Linked DNA regions of Oryzias latipes. The protein of the gene in region 1 interacts with the protein of each later gene in a biochemical or structural test. Links are inferred from orthologs where the notes say so. Each region holds a gene or a part of one and is shown in the gene's direction. Other genes may lie near its edges. The genes, in order: dmd, snta1 and dtna.

Region 1 (3,652 bases):
TGGTGGCTCTGCAGTGCATTGTGGGTACCCTCTGACTCTCTGCTTGCATGTTCCCCAGGCGGGGCTTCGGAGGAGCCAGCTGCAGACCGGCCTCCAGCTGGCTCAGGAGAACGACCGGACCCTCCGGCACATCCAGGACTGTCTGGCCAACACGGACCGCCACCTGTCCTCGTACCTCGCCGACCACATAGACGCCCAGCAGATTCCTCAGGAGGCCCAGGTGAGTGAGGATGAAGACGCGTCCTCTTCATCACATGGACGGCTCTGGAGACGACAGAGAAAAAGGAGAAACCTTTGAAGTTGGAGGTGTGGGGAGAACCTGGAGGAGAACTCAGAGAGGTTTCAGGGACCCTGAAGAGTCCAGATCCACAACCATGATGGATGGAAGCTGTGTTTGTGGCTGTTGGTTATAAATGTGTGTTCGTGGAAGTGTGTGTTTTTCTTTATGTTGAACAGTGTGTGTTTGTGTGTCTGTGACAGAAAATCCAGTCCGAGCTGAGCGACCACGAGGCCACTCTGGAGGAGATGAGGAGGAGGAACCAGGACTCCCAGAGGATCATGGGAGATATCCAGCTGACCCAGGTGTGCACAGATGGGTCTAAAAACACCGACGTGCACACTGACACGTGCACGCTCTAACCACGTGGATGAACTGCTCCCACAGAACATGCTGGCAGACGTCTGGACCAAGTTCCGGTTCTTCCAGAAGCCGGCTAACTTTGACACCCGCTTGGCGGAATGCGAGCGGGTGCTGGCTGGGGTCAAGGGTCAGGTGGGGCTTCTGGGCATCCGTAGCGTGGAGCAGGACGTGGTGCAATCCCAGCTGGAGCAGTGCATGGTGGGAAACGGAGTCACCTGCCGGGCTCAGACGGTTCACAGAGCCGCCTGACGTCCGGTGCTTTCCGTCCAACAGAAACTGTACAAGGTGCTGAGCGAGGTGAAGACCGAGGTGGAGACGGTGATCAAGACCGGCCGGCAGATCGTCCAGAAGCAGCAGACGGAGCAGCCCAAAGAGCTGGACGACAGAGTGACGGCCCTCAAGCTGCTCTTCAACCAGCTGGGGGCTCAGGTCAGTGTCCGCACACGTCTCCAGGAGCGCTGAGTCCGCGGTTGACCGCGTCACACCTGCAGGTCACCGAGAGCAAACTGGAGCTGGAGAAGAGCCTCAAGCTGTCCAAGAAGCTGCGCAAGGAACTAACCGCGCTGACCGAGTGGCTGGCCGCCACCGACGCCGAGCTGACCAGGCGCTCCGCCGTGGACGGCATGCCCAGCGATCTGGAGGCAGAGGTGGCCTGGGCGCAGGTACGACTCCCGCAGGGGCGAGCAGCCGGGTCGGTGTCCGCGGAAACTCAGGTCTCTTTGTTTGCTGGCAGTCCGTACACGGGGAGACGGAGAGGCGGCAGCCCCAGCTGCAGGCCGTGGTGGAGCTGGCAGAGGCGCTGAAGGCGGTGCTGCACGACCACGCCGGCCTGGTGGACGACAAAGTCAGCCTGCTGCACTGCAACTGGATCGCGGTGACCTCCAGAGCCGAGGAGTGGCTGAACCTTCTGCTGGTGAGGCGCACGCTGGCGGTGTCGCACACTCACCAACACCGCTGAACGGGCCGGTTCTGGAACGGGCTTTAGCATACGGTGGACTGTCTGCACCCTAGTACCAGGGCAGAACCTGCAGTAGGAGGAGTCTTAGTGTGAAACGGCATAACGGTGTCAATCTGGTGAATCGTTCTGTTATAGCTCTGCTCTGATAAATGAAAGACTTGGTGTCAAAGACTTCCAAACCACAAATATGAATTTCTCCTCCATGATCAATATTCAAACGGTTGGTCATTCCAGGAAACGACACTACCACATCTGAGTCCTGATTGGTCAATAGACTACTGGTTCAACAATGTGTTTCATGTAGCCCAACACCAGAGTAACAAACCGTCAACACAAAGGTTTTGAACACGGAAGGCCGACACAAGAATATGCATGCTGGGACTCAGGTTCACACAGATTTCTGATTCGAGGTGGTCGCTCAAACACGTTTTTGTAGACGTTTCCATGGAGGAGGTCGCTCGGACACGAGTTTCCGTAGACTGTCAGAGCAGGTGGTCGGTTGGACGCGTGTTAACATAGACTTTCTTTTGGAAATGATAACTCAAATGTGCGTTTCTGAGGCCGGTGTGAACGTAGCATCAGTCTCTTTACGCTCTAAGGACAAAGAGTCCAGCCTTCTCGTCTTGTCCTCCCAGGATTACCAACGTCAGATGCAGAAACTGGACGGAGAGATCCAGGAAGTGAACGAGTGGATGGACGGAGCGGAGAGGAAGTTGGAGGACATTGAAAGTCAGGGACCCAACGATGGCGTCCTGAAGGTTTGGTTCCTGCTGAAACACCAAGGTTACCATGGTGACGGCACAGGCAGACAGGTGCACGTTATTGCTGCAGGTTCTGCGCGCAGAGCTGCTGCTGAACACTACCAGGGTGGAGGAGGTGGGGGCCCTGGCCCAGGAGCTCATGTCCACACGGGGAGACAACTGCCAGGCCCAGGTGGGGCCCAGGGTGGAGCAGCTGCAGCACAGGTTCACCGCTGTCTCCCAGCGGATCGCCGCGGCGCCGGTACGTCAGTGTGACCACGTGGGAGGTGGGGGTTTCCACGCCACTCCCATCTCACTCGTGTCTGTGCACGCAGACGGCAGCCTCGGCCCAGGAGCTGCAGCAGTTCCACCACGACGCCCAAGTGTGGCTGCAACTGCTGGGGGAGGAGGCCAACCAGGGCGAAAACCTGAAGGAGGAGGACTTCCAGGAAGACAAGGTCTCACACTCACGCAGCTTCAGGGGGAGGGGTCAAAGTGCACGGGCTAACAGACGTCTCTATGTGCACAGAACTGTGAGGAGGGGGCAGTCAAAGAGCTGCTGCTGAGAGGAGAGAACCTGCAGAGAAGAGCTCCAGATGCAGACAAACGAGAGCAAGTGCGACTGAAGCTCCACCTGCTGGACAGCAAGTACAACGCCGTCAAGGTGGAGTGACCAGCAGCTGATCTGAGGCCGCTTCAGGACCGCAGTAGCTTTATAGGATGAGTGCATAGAAGTCCATTATCAGACGTGAACGGCCTTTAGAGAGGCAGCGTTGTCATGGTAACGGCTTGTGAGCCTGCAGCTGGTGCATGAGGACTAACCGTGTCTGCAGTCACTCTATGCCTCCAGAACCGTGTTCCTTGTTCAGTGACGGAGCGTTTGCAGAACCCCACGTTCTCCAGATGTTCCTCTGTGGTCGTCCTCCCATCACCGCCGTGTCGTCTGCATTCCAGGACCTGCGCATCCTGAGGAACAAGAAGGCCCTGGCCATCGCCCCACAGTGGTACCAGTACAGGAGGACGTCACATGACCTGCTGGCTTGGTTGGAGGAGATCCAGCGCACAGTGGACCAGCTGCCTGACCCCCCCGAGGGGGGGCGCGTCAAGGTGAAACATTGAAGTCTTTCCTGCTTCGGTTTTGTTCTTCATGATGCTTTTATGTGCCATCCGTCTGGAACTGGTTGGTTCCTCTACTTTTCCTGTTTCACAGCATTTGATGAAAGCTGTTCTGGAGTTTCAGGAACCAAAGTTGTTGCTGGATTTGATCATCAAATATCATCTACAGCCTTTTTCAATATTCATCTACAGCCTAGT
Region 2 (3,652 bases), on another chromosome or scaffold:
AATGTTAAAAACTGAGGAGGTTTTTGGGTTTGGGATCGTTTATAAAACCATATTTGCAGTACAAGTATTCTCCATTATACTAAATGTTGATCATTTACTTCATACTTTTTCTGTTGCTTTCGCTTAACCCTTTTTTCCGAAACTCATGATCTATGCTTAAAGTTGAAAGGAAATGTCTTTCCTTAGATTAAAGACATATTTTGTTTTCAGTGGAATCCTCTTGAAGGAAAGGCTGGAGACAGCCAGCGACGGCATCTGTCAGACTTTATTCATCAGCTTCAACATGTCTCTTTCTGATCATGGTCAGGTTTGCTGTAGTGGCTTTCATCAGGTGTCTTTTAGCATTCTTGTCAACATTGTTTTTGAAACCCGGAATCTTCTTGTACAAAAAAAGCTACTTCAGAGCAGACAAAAACCCAAAAGCCTCATGAATAAAAACCAGTTTCAGTGCTTTCTCTGTCACATTGATTAGATGGTGAGTTGGTACCAAAATAACCTTCACCTCTATAACTGGTGCACCTTTTGTGTTTAGATTCAGTGAAATGATCCATCAAACCAGTTGTGTTCATGATGTTTTTGACAAAAGAGACTATTTTGGGAATAATTCAAGCCTTCTTAATGCCGTCTTGTGCTTTGACTCCTCTGCTCGCCCTCTAGCAACTTTGCTTTTGTGGTGCGCAAGAAGGCCAATTGCCTCTTCCCCAGTGAAACCAGAGCTTTGCCTCCAGCCTCCTGCCTTACTGTGTCCTTTGGGCTATTTTTACTCTGGCAGAGGCTACTCCTGCTAAACCAATACCAAAGCCTCCTGAACCGCAGCAGAAGTCGTGTGTGGTGGTGGTGGTGGTGTGTAGGCGTATGTGCAGGGGTGTGAGGCAAATGTCATTTCAAAAAAACTGTTCTTCACAGAATCATGTCTCAATAATACATGAAAAGTCTTTGGGTTATATAATTGATGATAAAAATCAGTGATTTTTAAAAGGAGAAATTAGTAAACCTGGTGTCAGCGTTTCTTCCGATAGTTTCATAACAATTTACCTTTTTATTTTTGCAACATTTTAAACTGTGACAAAAGATATTAACCCATAGTACCATCAGCTCTTTATCGAAGTATAGTTTTCATTCAAAATATGACCTGAGGGTTTCAAAAAAGTCTTTAGCTTTGACGTTTTTAGTTTAAAACAAACATCTATTTTTATTTTGTCTCCACACTTTTTTGATTTTTGTTCTAAAACATAAAACCAATTTAATGTCCATTTTTTGTGTTTATTGCAGGTAAAAAATGACAAACTTACTACTCAGAATTGAAGTTTTCTGTGTAATTTCAGGTTTATTGTGGAACGATTGTATGATATAACGAAAAATATATATGTGAAAGAAAAAAAGAGCAAGGGTTAAAATATAGATATGAAGCACTGCCACACAAAATGTTCAAAAAGGCTCTGGAATGCGGAAGCTATGTTCACACCGCCCTTAAGCACCAATTCCATTGAGAAGTCTCTGTAAATGCACATTTCTGGCTTTCACATTCAAAACTCTTGCGTTTACACATTGAGAGCAAGACTTTTGACGAGCATTTTCGGGCTCATGTGCGGCCAATAAACCAGGTCCAACTTAGACTGAGACTTAGATTTGTGCCAACCGTTTGTGCCCAGCCAGAACTTTCATTTATCGGAATAGAGCTGTGAAAGAAATAACCTGGAGCAAGATTCACGAGATTTGCACCGCATTTACATTTCGCACCAAGCCTCTTCTAAGTGTAATTGACGCACATGCACTAGTAAAGAGTAGCAAAAGAAAAGGAAGAAGAAGCCCCTCCCTCTATTAACCCCTCCCAGTGTGAACACCATGAACCAAATCCGCATTTTGCAAATTTCTTGAACGCGAATCACAGGGTGACCGTAAATTTTCCGCATTACACATGAAATGTTGGTTTTTCGTGATACATGCAGGAAATACATAATTCTCAAGTGTTTTTTGCGTTTGCCATCGGTCGATATGCGCAAATGTCTGTCGAGGCTTTCGGCCAACGGGTCTTAACGGGTTTTAACGGGATTCATTTGTGATACATCTGTGAAAAATTCATGTAAAGAACCTCAACGTTTCTCTCTTTTTCCACGTATATTCACGTATTACCAATTTTCTTCTGTGCAACATACGCAAAATGTACCTAGTGGGTGTGGGACACGGCCTTCATGAGTTAATGACAATTTTTGTTTGTGTTGCCGATTCATTCAGTTTCCCCTATTTCTAAAAAAGGTTGCTTCACGAAGGAAGAATGTCTAAAAGTGTGGATCATATAGTCCAGCTGTGCTTGGGCACCTATCCCAGAATTATATCCTCATCTGTGCCTCCAGCTGGGGCCCAGGACATCCTCACTCCTGCATCTTAAAGGAAGAGCTGGAATCAGGAAAGCTTCCAACAGCAGTTGTCTTTAGGATTCTCAATTAACTATAAGAAACTATTAGACAAAGACTCATCCTCTCAGTGGGACCCCATTTAAATCAAATTATAATCAGCTCTGTCTGTCTTTTGCCTCATCAGCCATTTTTAACCAAACTCCCCTCTCTCCTCTTCTGCAGTGAAGTACATCAAGGAAATGTCTGCTTTTTTTAAAAGCTCTGGATCCCCCGGAGCGTCTCTCCCCTGGGATTCTCCTCCCTCCACTCCTCAGAGGGACCCCGAGCTCTCTCCTGCTGAGGGGAAGGAGCCTCGCAGCGTACCTCTGAAGATGTGCCAGGTGTCACGGAAACAGTGCCCCCCGGACACAGAAGACAGGTGCTACATGTCAAACACTTCCTGCTTTGTCACTTCTGATTCAGTCAAACATTTCTGAGCAAGAAAATCAATGCGGACGTCAATTCCAAGTAATCCGAGACTCTGTGCTTCAAGATGTTTTGGTTTTAGTCACGTTTATGTTACTGAACATTTCTTCCCCCTCAAGTTATACATCATTTTGTCTTTGGTTTCTCCAACTGCCCCACTTCCCCATCTCCTCTGTTCCTCTTTCCCTCTCTTGCTTTCATCTCATTTGTCAGATACTTTGAGGTGACTTCATTCAACAGAAAGAACTCTGTGTTCCTGCGGGCTAAAGACCCAGCCATGGCTCAGTCGTGGTACAACGCCATCCAGGCTGCTGCTGGCAGTCTGTTACCGCAAGTGAAGGAGGAATTAAAGATCATGCAGCCTGGTGTACAAATCAAGCATGTGGGCTGGATGACAGAACAGGTAGGAAATGTGTTTGTGTGGAGGTCACATGTTAACGAGATAAATCAGGATTCCCCTTTTGATTCATTCATTTTGAAGCAGTAGTAAAAAAAAAAAGACAAATAAAGTAGAAAAATTCTGTTTTGACTTTTTAGCCGTGAATGGTCTTATTGTTTTTCAGCAGACTTCTGGCCACTTCCATTTGTTTTTTAAATATAAAGGCCGTTTCCCACAGCCACTATGTACATTTGTGCATGTTGCATGGATGAAAATTGGTCATATGTGAAAATACATGGAAAAAGGGAGAAAAGTTGTAGTCTTTACATGAGATTTTCACCGATGTATCACTAATGAACCACGTTAAAACCACGGAAAAAGTACGAATAAACCACGCACAGAGAATACGTAAATCCACTGAGAACATGAACTGTTCGTGATTATCGCGCTG
Region 3 (3,652 bases), on another chromosome or scaffold:
GAGACTCTACGATCAAACGTATCAGAATCAGAATCAGAATTCTTTATTTATTAGAATTCTTTATTCTTTATCCGCCTTAAATGTTGTTTTTTTTTACTTCTTGTGTTTTTCTTTTCTCTTCTTTTAAGCAGTTTAATGGACAGCAGTAACCATCAAGATGAGGAGCACAGTCTCATCGCCCGCTATGCTGCTAGACTGGCTTCTGATGCTGCAGTAAGATATCTAGCATACAAGATATTTATTACTTCCATGTATCAGAGCATCTAATGAGAAAAGGAACATTTGCTGCTGTTCAAACTCTTAAGCTGTCAAAGTGGTGTTCAGTTTTCTGCAGACCTGCATGGCAGCTCTGCTTTAGTGCCTCCTGTGTGCTGTTTGAGAAAAAAAAAGAAAAAAAAAGCTTGTGGATGACATCACCTTAAATTAAAAAGCCGTTCATCTGATGTGTCTCGCTCGACTTCACCAACAGGCTCAACAGCAGAGGGTCCCCATGGACCTGCCCTGCTCTCTGGATGCCAACAAACAGCAAAAGCAGCTCATCGCTGAGCTGGAGAGCAAGAACAGGTTAGGGATGACCGCCTCTCTGAGACGCACGCCTCTGTTCTTTCTGTTCATATTTACATTTAGGGAATCTTATAGATATGCCAGTCAGCATGAGGAAACTGTTGTATTACTGTTTAAGTCAAAGCCTGAAACTGATATTTCTATTTTTGATCATCTGTCAACCAGAAATCGATCTCCATCATTTCAGACATTTACCACAAGGACTGTGGATCATTACTAACAATCAAGATCAAAAATTTACCGATCAAGCCCCAATTCCTACCGTTCCATATATTGTGTTTGACTGGTTGTTATATGTCTGTCTCTACAGAAGTGATCCAATTGAAATATTTATTTTTATCCTTATCTATTACACATTCATTTGGAACAAGAGATCAGAATCAAGAATGCATGACAAATAAAAACGAAGATTTAGAAAGAAAGAAATTATATTTATCACTTTAAATAACGTAAGATTGAAAGTTTCCAAGTTAACTTCAGCAGTAAAAGAAATTGGATGCCCTGGTCACAATCTGGTGCATGAAGACCCAATTAATATTATTATTATTATTATTATTAGTATGCACAATTATCTATGTATCTATTTACGTATTTGTTTGTTTGATCCGATATCTAGTGAGCTGTAACGTTACTTTCAGTTGTTTTTTTTTCCCTTTGAGCTGCCATGATGAGTGAATTTCTCCCTGTGAGAAAAATAATGTTCAGTTCATTTCATTCTAAGACATTAACATCCATGTTGCTTTGGTTTATCTCAGTTTATGCTTAAAATCCAACATTATTCTGCAATTTTAGAACGATAATTACATTTTCTGAAGTGGATTTAGTCAATTTTACTATATTTATAAAAATCAGTCATAAACATTAGCTCTTGAATTTATTTATAACTTAATTTAGAAGGTGGAGGCCTCTGTAAATGTCTTTAAAATTAAGTAACAGCGTTTTAAATACTAAATTTAAATAGGAATATGAAGTAGTTACACATCAAAGTAAAATAATCAGCTCATTTCACCTTTGACAAAACATTTTAAACAAAAATAAAATGTTACCAGGGAAGCTTTTTGTAAACATAAATATCTATCTGCTGTCTCACCTATTTATTTGGTGTTTTGGGCAGCCTAACACTATATTCATGGCTGAACCATTTGGACCATAAATAATGGGACCAAGCTTATGAACAGCTGATAAGTATGTAATAAAGTTGATAGATAATGTAGGGATTTTTGTAGTATCATCACAGTAATTGAATTTGGTTCACTGGGATGTTTCTGCTGCCTGCTGGTGTTGATCAAAGAGTAAAATACTAGTTTTTATTGGATGTTGGAACAGGTTGAAAAGGTTCTTATGGTTGTGTTGAATCATCTAATGTTAAATTGCCTTTTTTTTTGTGGAAATATTCTGATTACAGAGAAATCCTGCAGGAAATTCAGCGACTGCGCATTCAGCACGAGGAGGCATCCCAGCCGCCTCCCGATAAGGGTCAGCAAAACCCCACCTTGCTCGCCGAGCTTCGACTTCTCAGGTAATTCTGTCCTTGATTCAATGAGTATAGGAATGACGGACAGTTCTGCTGCGGCTGCTGAAAAAAACATCATCCAGATGGGCGGCTTCGGGATGCTATTTTTCTCTGTTGCCACTTACATGATGTTATGTTTTTATTACCACTTGTTTCCTCCGTTAGGCAACGCAAAGATGAGCTTGAACAAAGAATGTCTACTCTGCAGGAGAGTCGCAGGGAACTCATGGTACAGCTGGAGCAGCTAATGATGCTTCTCAAGGTACTGCAAACGTGTCTTTCATCTATATGGGAGCAGAACACGCTGCTCCACTTTGGCACAGTTTGCATCTTTTTGGGATTTCTTAAAGAGGACCTCCATGTTTGCCTCCTCTTATTTTTACGTTGTTATCAGTCACTTCTGGGTTTGAAGCTTGCAGCGGCGAGCATGGACTCTGTAGTTTGTGCGTTTCTTGATCGTTATATGCAGATGACAAGCAATATGGCCAGATGATGAATTTTCCATGTCTCACCCAGCTGTGGGCAATCTTTCCAGCTGCAACACACCAAACATTGCACTTTGCAGCATGGCAGCTACAGTAATTATGCAAGTTTCACGTCAGACTGCACACGTCTTTTTAGACACAATTTGCATATTTAGTTTGACGAACAATAAAAAGAACAGTGGCATGCTGCAGCCATTTCGTTATGATGAAATACCGGTTATTTTCCAGTTGTTTGTTGCTGTTAAAGCCAAATATCTTACATCATCAATTTTCCATTCAGCTGCTATGTCTAGAAAGTTCAGAGGCTGAATTCTAAGCCTTGTTGTCTCATTTTTTTCAACAGATACGATCACTGATGTGTAACTAAACACTATCAGCAATTTTTATAAAAAGTGAATAAAATCGCAAAGCACAGTGAAAACAAAAGTAGAAATCTACGGCTGTATGTTGCACACTGCAGGCCACAAATGAGCGCACACATTTGTTGTAGTTCAACAGAAATCAGATATAACCTGCTAGTCTAAAGCCTAAAGAATGTACAGGATTATTTAGAGCATCCAAAAAAGCAAATCTTGTTCAGTCTTCACTAAATTTTTTGACTAAGGACCTTTATAATCTTTGTTTTTGTACTCATCTTGAGCCTTTTCAAAGTCAGTGAAAACTCGTGGGTAATTTTCCATTATAGGCTCGCTTTTAAGTTACAGTCTGACCATCTTTTGATCTATTTGTAAAGTGTTCCCAGTGGTCCTTTAATTATGATTATACGTTTTTTAGCCAAAATTCAAAAACCTGTGTCGTTTTTTAAGCCAAAGTTCCTGACCTCGGATTGGGCTCAGAGTAGTGGACTACTGGCGCAGAGCAAGCCTGCCCCCACTTCCAGTCACCCATCTGTTTACACCCTCTCCTGCTAGCTTACTGCCCCTCACAACCCCAACCTAACATTAGCGGTGCAACAAAAATGGCGAGCAATCCAGTCATACAGTTTGGAGCCAAATGTAAGCTCGAACGAGGAAAACAAAGATGTAAACGGATCAGAATGGAGCAGGGACCTTGTGTTCTGCCAGTTGTAGCTTTGACATTACAGCTATAA

The links.
Region 2: the proteins of dmd (region 1) and snta1 form a complex in vitro, tested with the Homo sapiens proteins (2 studies listed by BioGRID, with this or other methods). The link is inferred for Oryzias latipes from reciprocal best matches to the Homo sapiens genes DMD and SNTA1.
Region 3: the proteins of dmd (region 1) and dtna form a complex in vitro, tested with the Homo sapiens proteins (3 studies listed by BioGRID and IntAct, with this or other methods). The link is inferred for Oryzias latipes from reciprocal best matches to the Homo sapiens genes DMD and DTNA.

The regions. Positions count from the first base shown.
Region 1 is NC_019860.2:186,825-190,476, forward strand, and holds part of dmd (dystrophin), read left to right. Parts: intron 1-58; coding exon 59-220; intron 221-480; coding exon 481-582; intron 583-664; coding exon 665-838; intron 839-913; coding exon 914-1,069; intron 1,070-1,131; coding exon 1,132-1,302; intron 1,303-1,373; coding exon 1,374-1,553; intron 1,554-2,233; coding exon 2,234-2,356; intron 2,357-2,429; coding exon 2,430-2,600; intron 2,601-2,673; coding exon 2,674-2,796; intron 2,797-2,867; coding exon 2,868-3,002; intron 3,003-3,292; coding exon 3,293-3,445; intron 3,446-3,652. UniProt on the Homo sapiens protein: Anchors the extracellular matrix to the cytoskeleton via F-actin. Ligand for dystroglycan.
Region 2 is NC_019863.2:11,943,464-11,947,115, reverse strand, and holds part of snta1 (alpha-1-syntrophin), read left to right. Parts: intron 1-2,579; coding exon 2,580-2,775; intron 2,776-3,035; coding exon 3,036-3,225; intron 3,226-3,652. UniProt on the Homo sapiens protein: Adapter protein that binds to and probably organizes the subcellular localization of a variety of membrane proteins. May link various receptors to the actin cytoskeleton and the extracellular matrix via the dystrophin glycoprotein complex.
Region 3 is NC_019875.2:27,156,290-27,159,941, forward strand, and holds part of dtna (dystrobrevin alpha), read left to right. Parts: intron 1-128; coding exon 129-213; intron 214-469; coding exon 470-564; intron 565-1,969; coding exon 1,970-2,083; intron 2,084-2,242; coding exon 2,243-2,339; intron 2,340-3,652. UniProt on the Homo sapiens protein: May be involved in the formation and stability of synapses as well as being involved in the clustering of nicotinic acetylcholine receptors.